Linked DNA regions of Xenopus tropicalis. The protein of the gene in region 1 binds, or shares a complex with, the protein of each later gene. Links are inferred from orthologs where the notes say so. Each region holds a gene or a part of one and is shown on either strand. Other genes may lie near its edges.

What was found.
Region 2: the proteins of fgfr1 (region 1) and frs2 are in contact, whole or in part, in an NMR structure (PDB 1XR0), measured with the Homo sapiens proteins. The link is inferred for Xenopus tropicalis from reciprocal best matches to the Homo sapiens genes FGFR1 and FRS2. Residues at the interface, in NP_075598.2 of Homo sapiens: His409, Ser410, Gln411, Met412, Ala413, Val414, His415, Lys416, Leu417, Ala418, Lys419, Ser420, Ile421, Pro422, Leu423, Arg424, Arg425, Gln426, Val427, Thr428, Val429, Ser430; in NP_001036020.1 of Homo sapiens: Asn25, Val26, Asp27, Asp28, Leu33, Leu47, Thr49, Arg50, Asp53, Ser54, Val55, Trp57, Leu60, Cys61, Leu62, Arg63, Arg64, Tyr65, Gly66, Tyr67, Asp68, Ser69, Leu71, Ser73, Phe74, Gln81, Thr82, Ile86, Phe87, Ala88.
Region 3: the proteins of fgfr1 (region 1) and plcg2 are in contact, whole or in part, in a cryo-EM structure (PDB 8JQI), measured with the Homo sapiens proteins. The link is inferred for Xenopus tropicalis from reciprocal best matches to the Homo sapiens genes FGFR1 and PLCG2. Residues at the interface, in NP_075598.2 of Homo sapiens: Lys504, Asn506, His541, Lys542, Lys598, Ser602, Tyr605, Gln606, Arg609, Glu612, Tyr613, Ser616, Lys617, Lys748, Asp755, Arg756, Val758, Ser762, Gln764, Glu765, Tyr766, Leu767, Asp768, Leu769; in NP_001412678.1 of Homo sapiens: Phe528, Arg540, Thr568, Phe569, Pro570, Asn571, Phe577, His585, Cys586, Arg587, Arg589, Ser590, Thr591, Met592, Gly595, Leu601, Thr602, Asn604, Leu622, Arg623, Cys624, Ala625, Glu626, Phe627, Glu738.

Annotation. Positions count from the first base shown.
Region 1 is NC_030679.2:130,973,647-130,977,295, forward strand, and holds part of fgfr1 (fibroblast growth factor receptor 1 precursor), read left to right. Parts: intron 1-819; coding exon 820-943; intron 944-3,375; coding exon 3,376-3,566; intron 3,567-3,649. UniProt on the Homo sapiens protein: Tyrosine-protein kinase that acts as a cell-surface receptor for fibroblast growth factors and plays an essential role in the regulation of embryonic development, cell proliferation, differentiation and migration.
Region 2 is NC_030679.2:59,065,621-59,070,023, reverse strand, and holds the start of frs2 (fibroblast growth factor receptor substrate 2), read right to left. Parts: upstream 2,880-4,403; 5' UTR 2,836-2,879; intron 2,800-2,835; exon of another isoform or gene 2,615-2,799; intron 1-2,614. UniProt on the Homo sapiens protein: Adapter protein that links activated FGR and NGF receptors to downstream signaling pathways.
Region 3 is NC_030680.2:64,101,152-64,104,800, forward strand, and holds part of plcg2 (1-phosphatidylinositol 4,5-bisphosphate phosphodiesterase gamma-2), read right to left. Parts: intron 2,946-3,649; coding exon 2,861-2,945; intron 2,780-2,860; coding exon 2,696-2,779; intron 2,419-2,695; coding exon 2,375-2,418; intron 1,596-2,374; coding exon 1,523-1,595; intron 1-1,522. UniProt on the Homo sapiens protein: The production of the second messenger molecules diacylglycerol (DAG) and inositol 1,4,5-trisphosphate (IP3) is mediated by activated phosphatidylinositol-specific phospholipase C enzymes. It is a crucial enzyme in transmembrane signaling.

The DNA.
Region 1 (3,649 bases):
AATTGCCTTGGTTCTGGAGGTCAACTTATAAGTGAATATAACACAATAGGAGAGCTGGGGGAAGGAAGACGAGGGAGATTGGTAAAAGCACAAAAGAAAGTGGCGTTGGGCATTGTCTGCCATAGACAATTCAGTTCTCTTTCATATGATAGCACTTGGTTCCTGGTTCTCCCTGAGAAGGGGCTGATAATGCTAGCTAGTAAGACCCTAAAAACTTGAGAACATTTATAACGTCAGTGCCAGAATGGTTGACGCATCTTAGCATTTCAGCTGACGAGGTTGCACCGGGTTATGGGTTCCTCTTGCATGCCAGCAGGACCTTTGAAGTGGAACTGCCTTTTTTGTCGGCCCAGCATGCTGTGGTGTCTCTTGTTTGAAAGGACTCTCATTAATCACTCCTCCTGCTGATCGCTCTGCAGCTCGTTAGAGGGATTCACAGGCTAAATGTAATCACCATCGAGAGAGTGTTTGAAGCTGTTGCTGAGTGTGACTTTTCATCAGACTATTGACCAACCTTATATATTTATCATTCTATGGATTGGAAACTGTGCCATCAACATGCTGTATATTGGCAGTGGTGGTGGACTTGCCCAGATCCCTTTACACTGTTAGGGATCTGGGCAAGTCCTTTGTGATGTTTATGTTTGAGATTGCCACCTTCCCCAATTAATAAGTGGGGTTCCAAAGATGCAAACAGAGAAGAGGGGCAACCACGCCAGGGCAAAAAAGCTGGGTTTTTAGCTTGAAGGGAACGTGTAGGATTTAAGATGGCAGTGCCTAAAATAAAGATTAATACTATCAACTATTTAACACTTCTAGGTTCGTTCTCAAACATGGAGCCTTATTATGGATTCCGTTGTCCCATCTGATAAAGGCAATTACACTTGTATTGTGGAGAACAAGTATGGCACCCTCAACCACACCTACCAGTTGGATGTAGTCGGTAAGTGCTGTACTTTGTTTGTGGCATGGAGGAGCCCTTCTGCCTCTCATTCATTCTCGCTCTATTTCCATTGATGCTTGCCTTGCTGGCTGGCTGCTATTCTTAGTTATGGGGTTGTGGTTAAGTGACCAGCACAATCTAGTTCTAATGCATATGGCAGTGGTTCCCAAAAGCCTTGGTTGGATGGGCCCAGCCTGAAGGCCATAGGAGTTGGATAGTGTGCACGCAAGTTATTTTAGTGAGGTGAGATCCACAGGAGGCAACCCATTAAGTGACTCCACTCCAATGTAAAGGCCTTTTTCATACTTTTTTTCCCCTGATGAAGATCCTCCATGAGTCAAAACATGTAGGGTTTCCTTTTATTTATAGTGTAATTTTTTTTTTTTTTTTTTAATCTGGAACAGATTTGGGGATATGCCCATTTACTTTCCTAGGTTCTGCTGGAAGCCCATCTTCAAGGTTAATTATAGTAAGATTTGGAGTGAACACTTCTTTAGTATCTTAGATATCCATGGAACTATGGCTGAATGGGAAATTTTGTAATGGTTTTTGTATGTTTGCAACCTTGTTTTGAGCTAAGGAGGGTGCTCTGGGCAAATGTTGGGTCTCAAAAGGGTGCTCGTTCGAATATATCTAAAAGCCACAGGCATTTGGGCTTGGGGGGGGAGGATATCAATTGCTCAGTCCTTCATGGTCACAGAGTTGTAGCGTTAGGGACCCTGGAAAAAATTGTTTTTTAAGTCTATAGTATTTAATTTTTCGCTGGGATTTGTAGACCAGTTTGAAGACGACAGTCTAAAAAAATAATGCGTACCTTAAATACAAGTATTAATCAAGGTTTTGTGCGAATAATTGACTCTGCATTGCTCGGCCTCCTGGTTGAATTTGCGATAGAAATCACCCACGGGCCTGGAGCCGAGGCTTTTTTTGTTGGCGCTTGGGGATCAGAACAAAAAGTCCTTGGAGTTTTTATGTCGAAACTAATTGAAGAGCGATGGCAGGCGCAGGCTAAAGTGAAGGAAAGGAAAAAAACAAAACAAGCCCTTCTTTGCCCAATATCTAGCAGATCGTGAAATTATCCTCCATTTCCTCAAATGAGTAGCCAATTCTCCTCTCAAATATTTCCTCCACGAACATCCGCCTTTAATTATCCTACATATTTTCCTTTCTTTGACTCCCCCCCACCCCCAGCCTGCCATTTCCACCTCACAGAACCTATTAAATTTCAAATATTTCCTGTACAGGGGGCACCGTGGGGCCTGCATTAAGGTGCTGAGTTTATTTATTCTGTCTCCTTGCTTTTCTTCCCCGCTCCTCTCATTACATTCTCGACTGACTTGAAGAATCAAGGCGGCGTACTGATAGTCTGTTATTCCTGGAGACGTAATAAACGTACATAGAGCCTACTCTATACACCACCATTGCATCATCTGTTTCCCGGGATCTGGGATTCATTTCCAGCGCTGGGCCTTTCTTAATTCTAACAATAATATTGGTTGTTTAGCCTAGAATCTCTAGGTAATTGTAACCTTACTGCTGCCTGGGCCATTTTAAGGATAGAATTGTTTTCCCCCCTCTTTACTGTAAAGCCTATGAAAAGCAAATTAAATCAATGGCGAAAGCCAACACCCTGTCCCCCTTCATTTACCAGCCAACTGTTTTTGTGCACCAAGAGTATTTCACTTCTTATTCCGATATAGTAAATAAAACTGCTGCCAATTATTTAGAAGCTGTGTTGACTCCAGGATGTGTATGGTGGGGGCTAAGGAAAATCTGATTTCCCCAAAGTTGCTTGAATAAATAAATAAGACCCTTTCTACATGGGTTTTTATGGAAACCTTCATCATTCATGTGTCTGTTGAAGTAATGAGGTAGCAGAGGAGACATTCTGCTCTGTGATTGGCTGACAAAACAAGTTTTTTCTATATCCAATGCTTTGATTGGCTAAAATCTGTCTTCTGCAGGAATGGAAACAACAAATATTTTGCTCTGAGATATAGCTTTATATTGAAATGTCGTTTTATATTTTTTATAATTTTAGAATACTTCAAAGGCCCCTCTTCGAGACTGGGGTCCAGGACAAATTCCCTGTCTATTCTGTGCTAATAAAAGCTCTGTGTTGTGTTTTATAGATAGGCAAAATGTTATTTTGGTTATGAATAGGATTCCAAAATTCTGTTCTATCGGTGCCCGAACTGCAGAAACTGGTATCATTCCATCTACATGCAGGGTTCAATCCCAGATGCCAAATAATAAACATTGTTGATTTTAGTTCTCCATCTCCACGCTTTGATAAGTGCTACAGTAAATGTAATATTGTTATAGTGGTGCTCCATCTGTAAATAGTGCTGAATTAGTGCTACGTTTACCAATATTTGTTGAGAAAGTGCTCCAGCTACATTGACCTTTGGAAACAACCATTTCCTTCGCAGAACGTTCGCCACATCGCCCAATCCTACAGGCCGGTCTCCCAGCGAATACGAGTGTTATTGTGGGAAGCACTGCTGAATTTTTCTGCAAAGTGTACAGCGACCCCCAGCCTCACATCCAATGGCTCAGGCACATTGAAATTAATGGCAGCAGAGTGGCCTCGGATGGCTTCCCGTATGTGGAAATCCTCAAGGTAAATACATCTGTTGTCCTATGTGCCATGTGTTGTTTGGCTCCCTGCAAGGCGAGACACTCCTTCTGTTACAGTTACGCTTA
Region 2 (4,403 bases), about 72 Mb from region 1:
TAATTCAGCATAGGATTTATTTATATATTCACAAAGTCAGCAGCCATGCCGCCAGCAAGATTTTAACTCTGAACTACCTCCATAACTAGAAAAACACTTGCCAAGAATCAGCCCCTCTGCTCTCAAAATCTTTAAAGGAGAAGGAAAGGCAAAGTCACTTGGGGGTGCCAAAATGTTAGGCACCCCCAAGTGACTTAAATCGCCTACCTTCTACCCCGGGCTGGTGCCCCTGTTCGGAGAGAACAGCACCAGCCCGGGGTAGCTGCAGCGCTTCCTCCTTCCTGTTCGCTCGCAGGTACCCCAGGCTGGTACTGTTTTCTCCTAACAGGGGCACCAGCCCGGGGTACAAGGTAAGCTATTAAAGTCACTTGGGGGTGCCTAACATTTTGGCACCCCCAAGTGACTTAGCCTTTCCTTGTCCCTTAAGCATTGAATCCGCCCTGGGTGCAGGCACACGCAGCATATTTCTGCCTCAAACTGCATACTTGAGCAGTTTCAGACAGAAATACACTGTGTGTGCCTGCCCCCGGTGGATTAAATGCTTCTGGGTGCAGGCAAAACTTAAAGATTTTTAGAGCAGAGGGGCTGATTCTCAGCAAGTGTTTATCAGCTTGCGAAGGATCACCCCGTGACGCATTACCCTAAACATAATACGAATAGATAACAGGTACAAGGATAATTAAGGCCTCCCTCACATATAAAAAGGCACTAGATCAAGAAAATATAGCTATAAGAATCCTGCACGCTAAGGGATTGTACTGACGAGTTTTGCGCAGAATTCTGCATTCCACCTCAGTTCCGAGTTTACACGCGCCTTTGTGAGTAAAGCCCCATAAGGAAGAATGCTTGCGTTTCTTCACAGACCCAACCACTCGTCCTAAATAAAACACAGTCCTAAATAAAATATAACTTGTACTTGCAAAAAACAGGTCTTTTTTAGAAAAATTATTTTATACATAATTTTGTCAACTAGTGCCCACAAAATCATTCATATTAAACATTATGTCGGACAAAACTAAGTAAATACCACCCAGCAATACTGCAAAACGAGAATACAGAAAGACATAACCAGGAGACCCAGACTTTTCAGCAACAAGCCTTTCAGAATTCCCCTTGATAACAGCTTATTGCCTAAACATCGGGGTGATTCTAACTGGCTTGTTACCTGCTTTCCTATATGCTTATTTTGCACTATTGCTGGGTGGCATGAACTTAAAAGAACACTGTTCTATATTGACTAAATTATATATGAAATAAATTAAAATAATTTTTCGATAAAAATTAGTTTTTGTAAGTGCTACTTGTGTTTTAATTAAAGTGCAGGTTTCATGTTGCTATACTGAGATTACACACACGCAGGCAGATAAGATGCCGACTCAGTCTCAAGGGGCTGAACTGGCAACTACAACCTGCCCATGGATGGCCACCTTTAAGACTATGATGTGATAGCCCTTGGTCTAGGAGGAGGGCAGTGATGTTGGAATTTAGAAGGAAGTGGGGCGAATGAAGTTTTGGATTAGTTGTTTAAAACTAACATTATGAAAACATGTCCCAGGCAGCCTACACCATGCAATAAAATAATTACCTAACATTTATGTATTTTTCATTTGTTGTGCATATTAAATATACATTACAATTATTATAATTAAGAATTACCATTAAAAGATGATAGTCATACTGTGTATTTGCCATAAAGGTATTTCAGACACAATAAGCTGTTTGTCCATATTTTGCTTTTGAACATATATAGGTAATGAATATCATATTTTAAAATAGTTTCTAAAAAAAAAAAAAAGGTTCTCTGACCAGAATTTAAAAACATTCAATTTCAAGCAACTTTCCCATATAAATCAATTAAAATTCAGTTTTTTAAGGTTACTTATATGTATATAAAATTGGTACTGAGAACAAAGTATGTTTACATTCTCTGCTCTGTCTCTCTACTGTCTCTCATTGCTAAAACAATATAACATAAGACAGCTGATTAACAGAAGGAGAACTGCCTTCTGCTACACTGTTCCTGGGATTCTGAAACAGAAGTGAAAGGAATACTGGCTTCAATTATATTTATAAATAACTGTAGAACAACTGAACAAGCATTAATTGGGTATTCGAAAAGATTACATTTCCTTTCATTATGTAAAAAGGGGTTCAAGGGGCTGCAGATCCCCCTTTGTCTGAAAGAAAGTTAGCACCTTGTAGCATGACAGTAAGGGCCAACAAACTTCAGGTTCTTCAGACACATCCAACTCTCAGAGAAAGTTGGGTGCTGCATCTAACTACCGCTGAAAGGATAGCCACCCCAAAAGTGACTATATGCCGACTATAAAATGCCTTATTACAAGGTAACAGTGATTTGCCACCAGGAGAAAGTGCTCTGCCTTACAACAACACTGCTTGAGTGAAGCATTCGGCGCACGGCGGTACTAGTGATCTTAAATTCGCTCCTCTCCAGCGCAACAAACTACACATCCCGACAACCCCTCTGAAATAAATGCAGAGACTGGACGTGATGCGAAATAAAGCTGCCGGAGAGCCGTACGCCAAAACTCCATATGAAAAGGTGGTTTGTCACGGTATAAAAACAATGCTTTCGGTGTAAAGATGAACTTACAAACGCCACACATCCACACACGGACACCCCACTCCCACGAACAACGATCACATCAGGGTGCTGGGCAAACCTGGCGATCCCAAACCGCCGTGCTTTACAGATAAGCGGATCAGATGTAGATGATGTGGATCTTTAGTGGGAGTTCCGTGGCCGCGAATGAGCCGTGCAGTAAAGGCTGAGAGAATAGCAAACAATTCTTTCGCTTCAATAAAGTTACTCACGGCTTTCTATGTCGTTCCGGCAGGGCTTCGCTCGGTCCCGGGTTGCACTCAGACCCCGGGCTCCAGGCCGCCAGCTGGGCCGAGGCTTCTGGTTGTGCGCAGCTTCCCCCGGGACTACTGCTTCCGGGTCACGCGGCCAAAGGAGCGCGCACAGGACTTTTGTGAGACAGCGGGGGCGCGCCTTAAAAGAGCTTTTTTTTTTTTTAAGTTGACGTCAGCAGAGCGGTGAGGGTGAGCTACAGTGCAGGGTTACTATGGCGGTGTTTGAAGCTCAAGTTAGGGGTATATCTATCAAACGGTGAAGAAAGCTGCCTATCATTCGCCCCATAAACATTTCGCGTCTTTATTAAGACAAAAGTGTTTACTTTCCAAACACTTCTTCAGTTGGAATCAGACAATAGCAGAGATAAAGTTCTTTTTATTTCATCTCTACTTTTTATCGCTGACCCTTTTCCTAACATTGAAGTTGACAGTTTCCCTTTTCACCTAAAGCAGCAGTGTGTATATATATATATATATATATATATACATACATACATACATACATACATACACACACACACACACACATACATACACACACACACTATAGGGCAGATTTATCAATATGTGAGTTTAGGGGGCACATTCATTAAAGTACAACGGGTCTGATTACTAAAGATTAGTATTTTTTCTAAAGTTTAGAACTTTTGCATATTTTCTACAATATTTTTGTTAATTTGCACGACTTTTTTCATACCTTGCCACAATTAGTGGCACAAAATCGTACTTGTCGCAACAAGTATGAAAGTTTCGTAATTCATTCAAGCTTCGGTATTGTGACTTTCCTTGGGCCAGGTTGGAGCTGCCATTGAGTCCTATGGGAGGCTTCCAAAATCATGCACAGAAGGATCAAAGTCCATCCGTCGTTTACGATCGGATACAAAAATTTCATAACTTTTGGATTGTACCACAATATTTTCAGATCGTAACGTTTGTAACATTGCCGCACATCAGAAATTATCGTTAACTATAAGAATTTTCGCGAATCGTACTTTCAAACAATCTAAATTCATACATTGATAAATGAGCCCATATAAATTAATACATAGAAACTCACCCACATCCTATTCATTCCTATGGGATTTTAGAAGCATATTTATCAAATGGTGGGTTCTAACTTTCACCCATTGATAAATACACTTCAAAAGATCCCATAGGAATGAACAGAATGTGGATGCACCAATATCGAAATTAAAAAATCTTTCTTTTATTACACATTTAAAAATTATTCAAACCCCATTTACTGTATATTGCCTAACGCATTTCATGCTTACCCAGCACTTAGTCATAGGCTCCAAAGGTTAAAAACGGGTTACACATATATATACATAATACAGATCTCACCCCAATTAGTTAAACCAATCCGTGTGTGACACATCACTCACTCTTTAAATTTGAAAAGTTAACTATATCAAGTACAGATAGAATCAACTACCAGATAATAAAGTATACATAGCACAGGGTTAGTCATAAAAACATCATTATGTAAAGCATTGTCACGACACGAAGCAGGTTACATCAAAAGT
Region 3 (3,649 bases), on another chromosome or scaffold:
TTGCATTCTGAGTTCAAACTTCAGCAGACCAGCAAAAGCTGTGTGCTGATTGGTTGCCATTGCACACAAAGTTAGGGAAACATTTGCCAGTGTTTTAATTTATAAGAAATGGAGTCTATCATTACTACAAGAAAAGGAACAATAAAGATCACTGCTAGTTGTGTTGCCAGTAAATATAAAAAAATACAAAGAATGTTGATGCCGAATCAAATATCACTAGAATATCGAAGCAATACAGAAATGTATCTCAAATATTAAGGGATTTATAAGTTTTACTTTTGGATCATTAGTAACAAGGGGAGAAGTTAGAAAGGAAGCAACAAACAAATGTAATGCCATGCAAATAGAGCTAAATTAGCTCATCCTATAGTAAAGGCATCCAATTTCCCTATGCAAAATGGCATAATAAACCATAATACACATTAACAACATCAGTGGGTCAGCAGTGGAAATGATCTTCAACACACAACAGAAACACCTTTTTACTGGCAGGGACAATATAACAATGTAAGATAAAGGATGACACTTAGGGGCCGATTTACTAACCCACGAACGGGTCGAAATGAGTCCGATTGCGTTTTTTCGTAATGATCGGTATTTTGCGATTTTTTCGTATTTTTTGCGATTTTTTCGGCTTCTTTACGAATTTTTCGTTACCAATACAATTTTTGAGTAAAAACGCGAGTTTTTCGTAGCCATTACGAAAGTTGCGTAAAATCTGGCGATTTTTCGTAGCGTTAAAACTTGCGCAAAAAGTTGCGCTTTTTTCGTAGCGTTAAAACTTACGCGAAACTTTGCACCTTTTAAGTTTTAACGCTACGAAAAAGGCGCAACTTTTCGCGTAAGTTTTAACGCTACGAAAAAAGCGCAACTTTTTACGCAACTTTCGTAATGGCTACGAAAAACTTTTTTACGCAAAAATCGTATTGGTAACGAAAAATTCGTAAAGAAGCCGAAAAAATCGCAACAAATACGAAAAAGTCGCAAAATGTTCGTTTTCAAGTCGGAACTTTTCCAATTCGGGTCGGATTCGTGGGTTAGTAAATCAGCCCCTAAGGGGCACATTTACTAACCCACGAACGGGCCGAATGCGTCCGATTGCGTTTTTTTCGTAATGATCGGTATTTTGCGATTTTTTCGTATTTTTGCGTTTTTTTCGGCGTCTTTACGATTTTTGCGCAAAAACGCGAGTTTTTCGTAGCCATTACGAAAGTTGCGCAAAGTCGCGATTTTTTCATAGCGTTAAAACTTGCGCGCAAAGTCGCGCCTTTTAAGTTTTAACGCTACAAAAAAATCGCGACTTTGTGCAACTTTCGTAATGGCTACGAAAAACTCGCGTTTTTTCGCAAAAATCGTAAAGACGCCGAAAAAATCGCAAAAAAAACGAAAAAGTCGCAAAATGTTAGTTTCCAATCGGAATTTTTCCAATTCGGATTCGAAATCGTGTCTTAGTAAATCAGCCCCTTAGTTTCACTTTGTGAACACATCAAACAGTATTTCTAACACTGCTGTCTACTCTCACCTGTTGCTCATGCACTAGAAACCTTTGAAAATCATGCAGGTGGACAGCTGACCCATCTGGGCGGTCAACATTTCTATAACAAAAAACACCCAATTAGAAGTGGCAATAGAGACATATAAAAGCATACAAGGCATTTCTTTTAACATGTGGCGTCATTTGCTTACAGCTGTATTTGCACACAGCCTAAATAAATGTCACAGACATTTGTCAGAAGGCAATGGAGATGACAATGACAAGTGTATCTCTTTATACATGTTTTTATGTAAATAAATTTAGGCCCCCATGTGAGAACCAGTTAGTTACAAGTTAAGGCTTTATAATGATGATGATTTTTTTTTTTTATCTTTCTTGCATTTTCTTCTGCCCCAACCCACTAAAACTGCTGCTAGCTAAGGAGCTTAAAATTTTAACTATCATAAAAAAAAATGTAATATAAGACATATCACATGGCAAAAAACGTATATATCAATATATATACGTAATAATTCTTTACTATTTCTGACATAATAAAGTTACTCTTCACTTTAACCCTTTTAGTGTGAATCTACAATTCTAAGTTCTATGGTATTTGCAGGTAGTGCTAATGTAGGAATAGTTGCTCCTTTGCATGTCATTGTTTACATTAGAATGATTTTGGGTGTGCAACCATTTGTCATGCCACTTTGGCTTCCATGGTAAGCAGAAAAAATTACATGGAAACTCTGACAAAAGTAGATACATATAAACTGCAAATCAAATCATGTAGAAGTTCCCTTTTTCCTGGAAATGCCACATTTGAAGATATTCACTAGAAATCAATTCCAAATAGTGCACCCTCAATGCCAAAGAGGAAGGTGAAGCAGCAAACCTTACCCCAAAATAAACACTGAAGAATCCTTCCGAAATTCATCCAGTATCTGAGGGGAGAAGAGAACTTACATTGAAAAGAAAGTTATGGAGCTTGTGTTTAAGACCAGTAATCATAAATAACACCAGTAATTGCTGTTAAAGGTTTAACCTTATAACATGTTAAAAACAAAACAAGAAAACAAGTAAAAACCCAAAATACTCCTTTTGAATATAGGTAATAACTGAAATATTCCCCTTGCAAACTGGTAATAAGCCACAGAATATAGAGAAAATAACGAAGCATCCACAATACTCAGGAGAGCATGAAATGCAATATGAACTTACCATCTTCTGCTGTTCAAACATGAGCTTTTTGTAGAATACGTGAAAATGTTCAAAACTAATATCATCCCTTTGAATGCCAATCTCCTGTGGAAAAATAAGATTTTTTTTTTATAACCACAATTCATCTAAAATAAAACAAAATAGTTAAGTACATTTCACATTTACCGTTAACTTGTCCTTCAGCACTCTCATGCTATTAGCTTTGAAGTTGGCCTGTGAAAGAATGGTCTTCAGTTCCCGGAAGCTAATACTTAAAACAGAGGAAAACCAAATGATGATTCGAAATAGATTTGAAATATGCCTTGTAATTCATAAAATCATATGCTATAGATAAAAAGAACACCTGTTCTGGCAACATGGAGATCAGAGTTAATATACCGTTTGATCTTTTTTTATGTTTTGGCCATATTTACACATGTGATATCTTAGAAAAGTGAGCCTTCTTTTTAAACATGTACATATTAAATAATGTATTAGAACCTACAATTTGCACACTCAGCAGGATGCATAGAATTAAAGGACTGAAATCAGATTAGATGGATCCCAAAGTACCCAGAAATCTAAATACAGTCAAATCCAGATTCAGAAGCTATTTCATGCTTAGGAACAGCGCCGAAGACTGGTGTGTGCCGTAAAAATGCAGTGAGAAAAACTGTACACCAATTAAGTAGAAATTGATTCAATGTTACCAATCAGTCCCAAAACTGATGTCAAGCTTAGTAAAAAAAAAAAAAAAAAGAACTGCATCTATGCAACTGATTTATGTTTACAGCCATGACCTCTTTAAAGCAGGTTTATATAGCAATTCGCTAATTAACTAATCTCAAACTGAAAAACCTTTTTGTGATATTATTTTAAAGTGCAATGAAATGCAAAATCGTTCTTGATGTAACATAGTTGTAGTATATATATATTTATATCTGTTGATGGATCAGCCTACCAGTTGTTAATTTA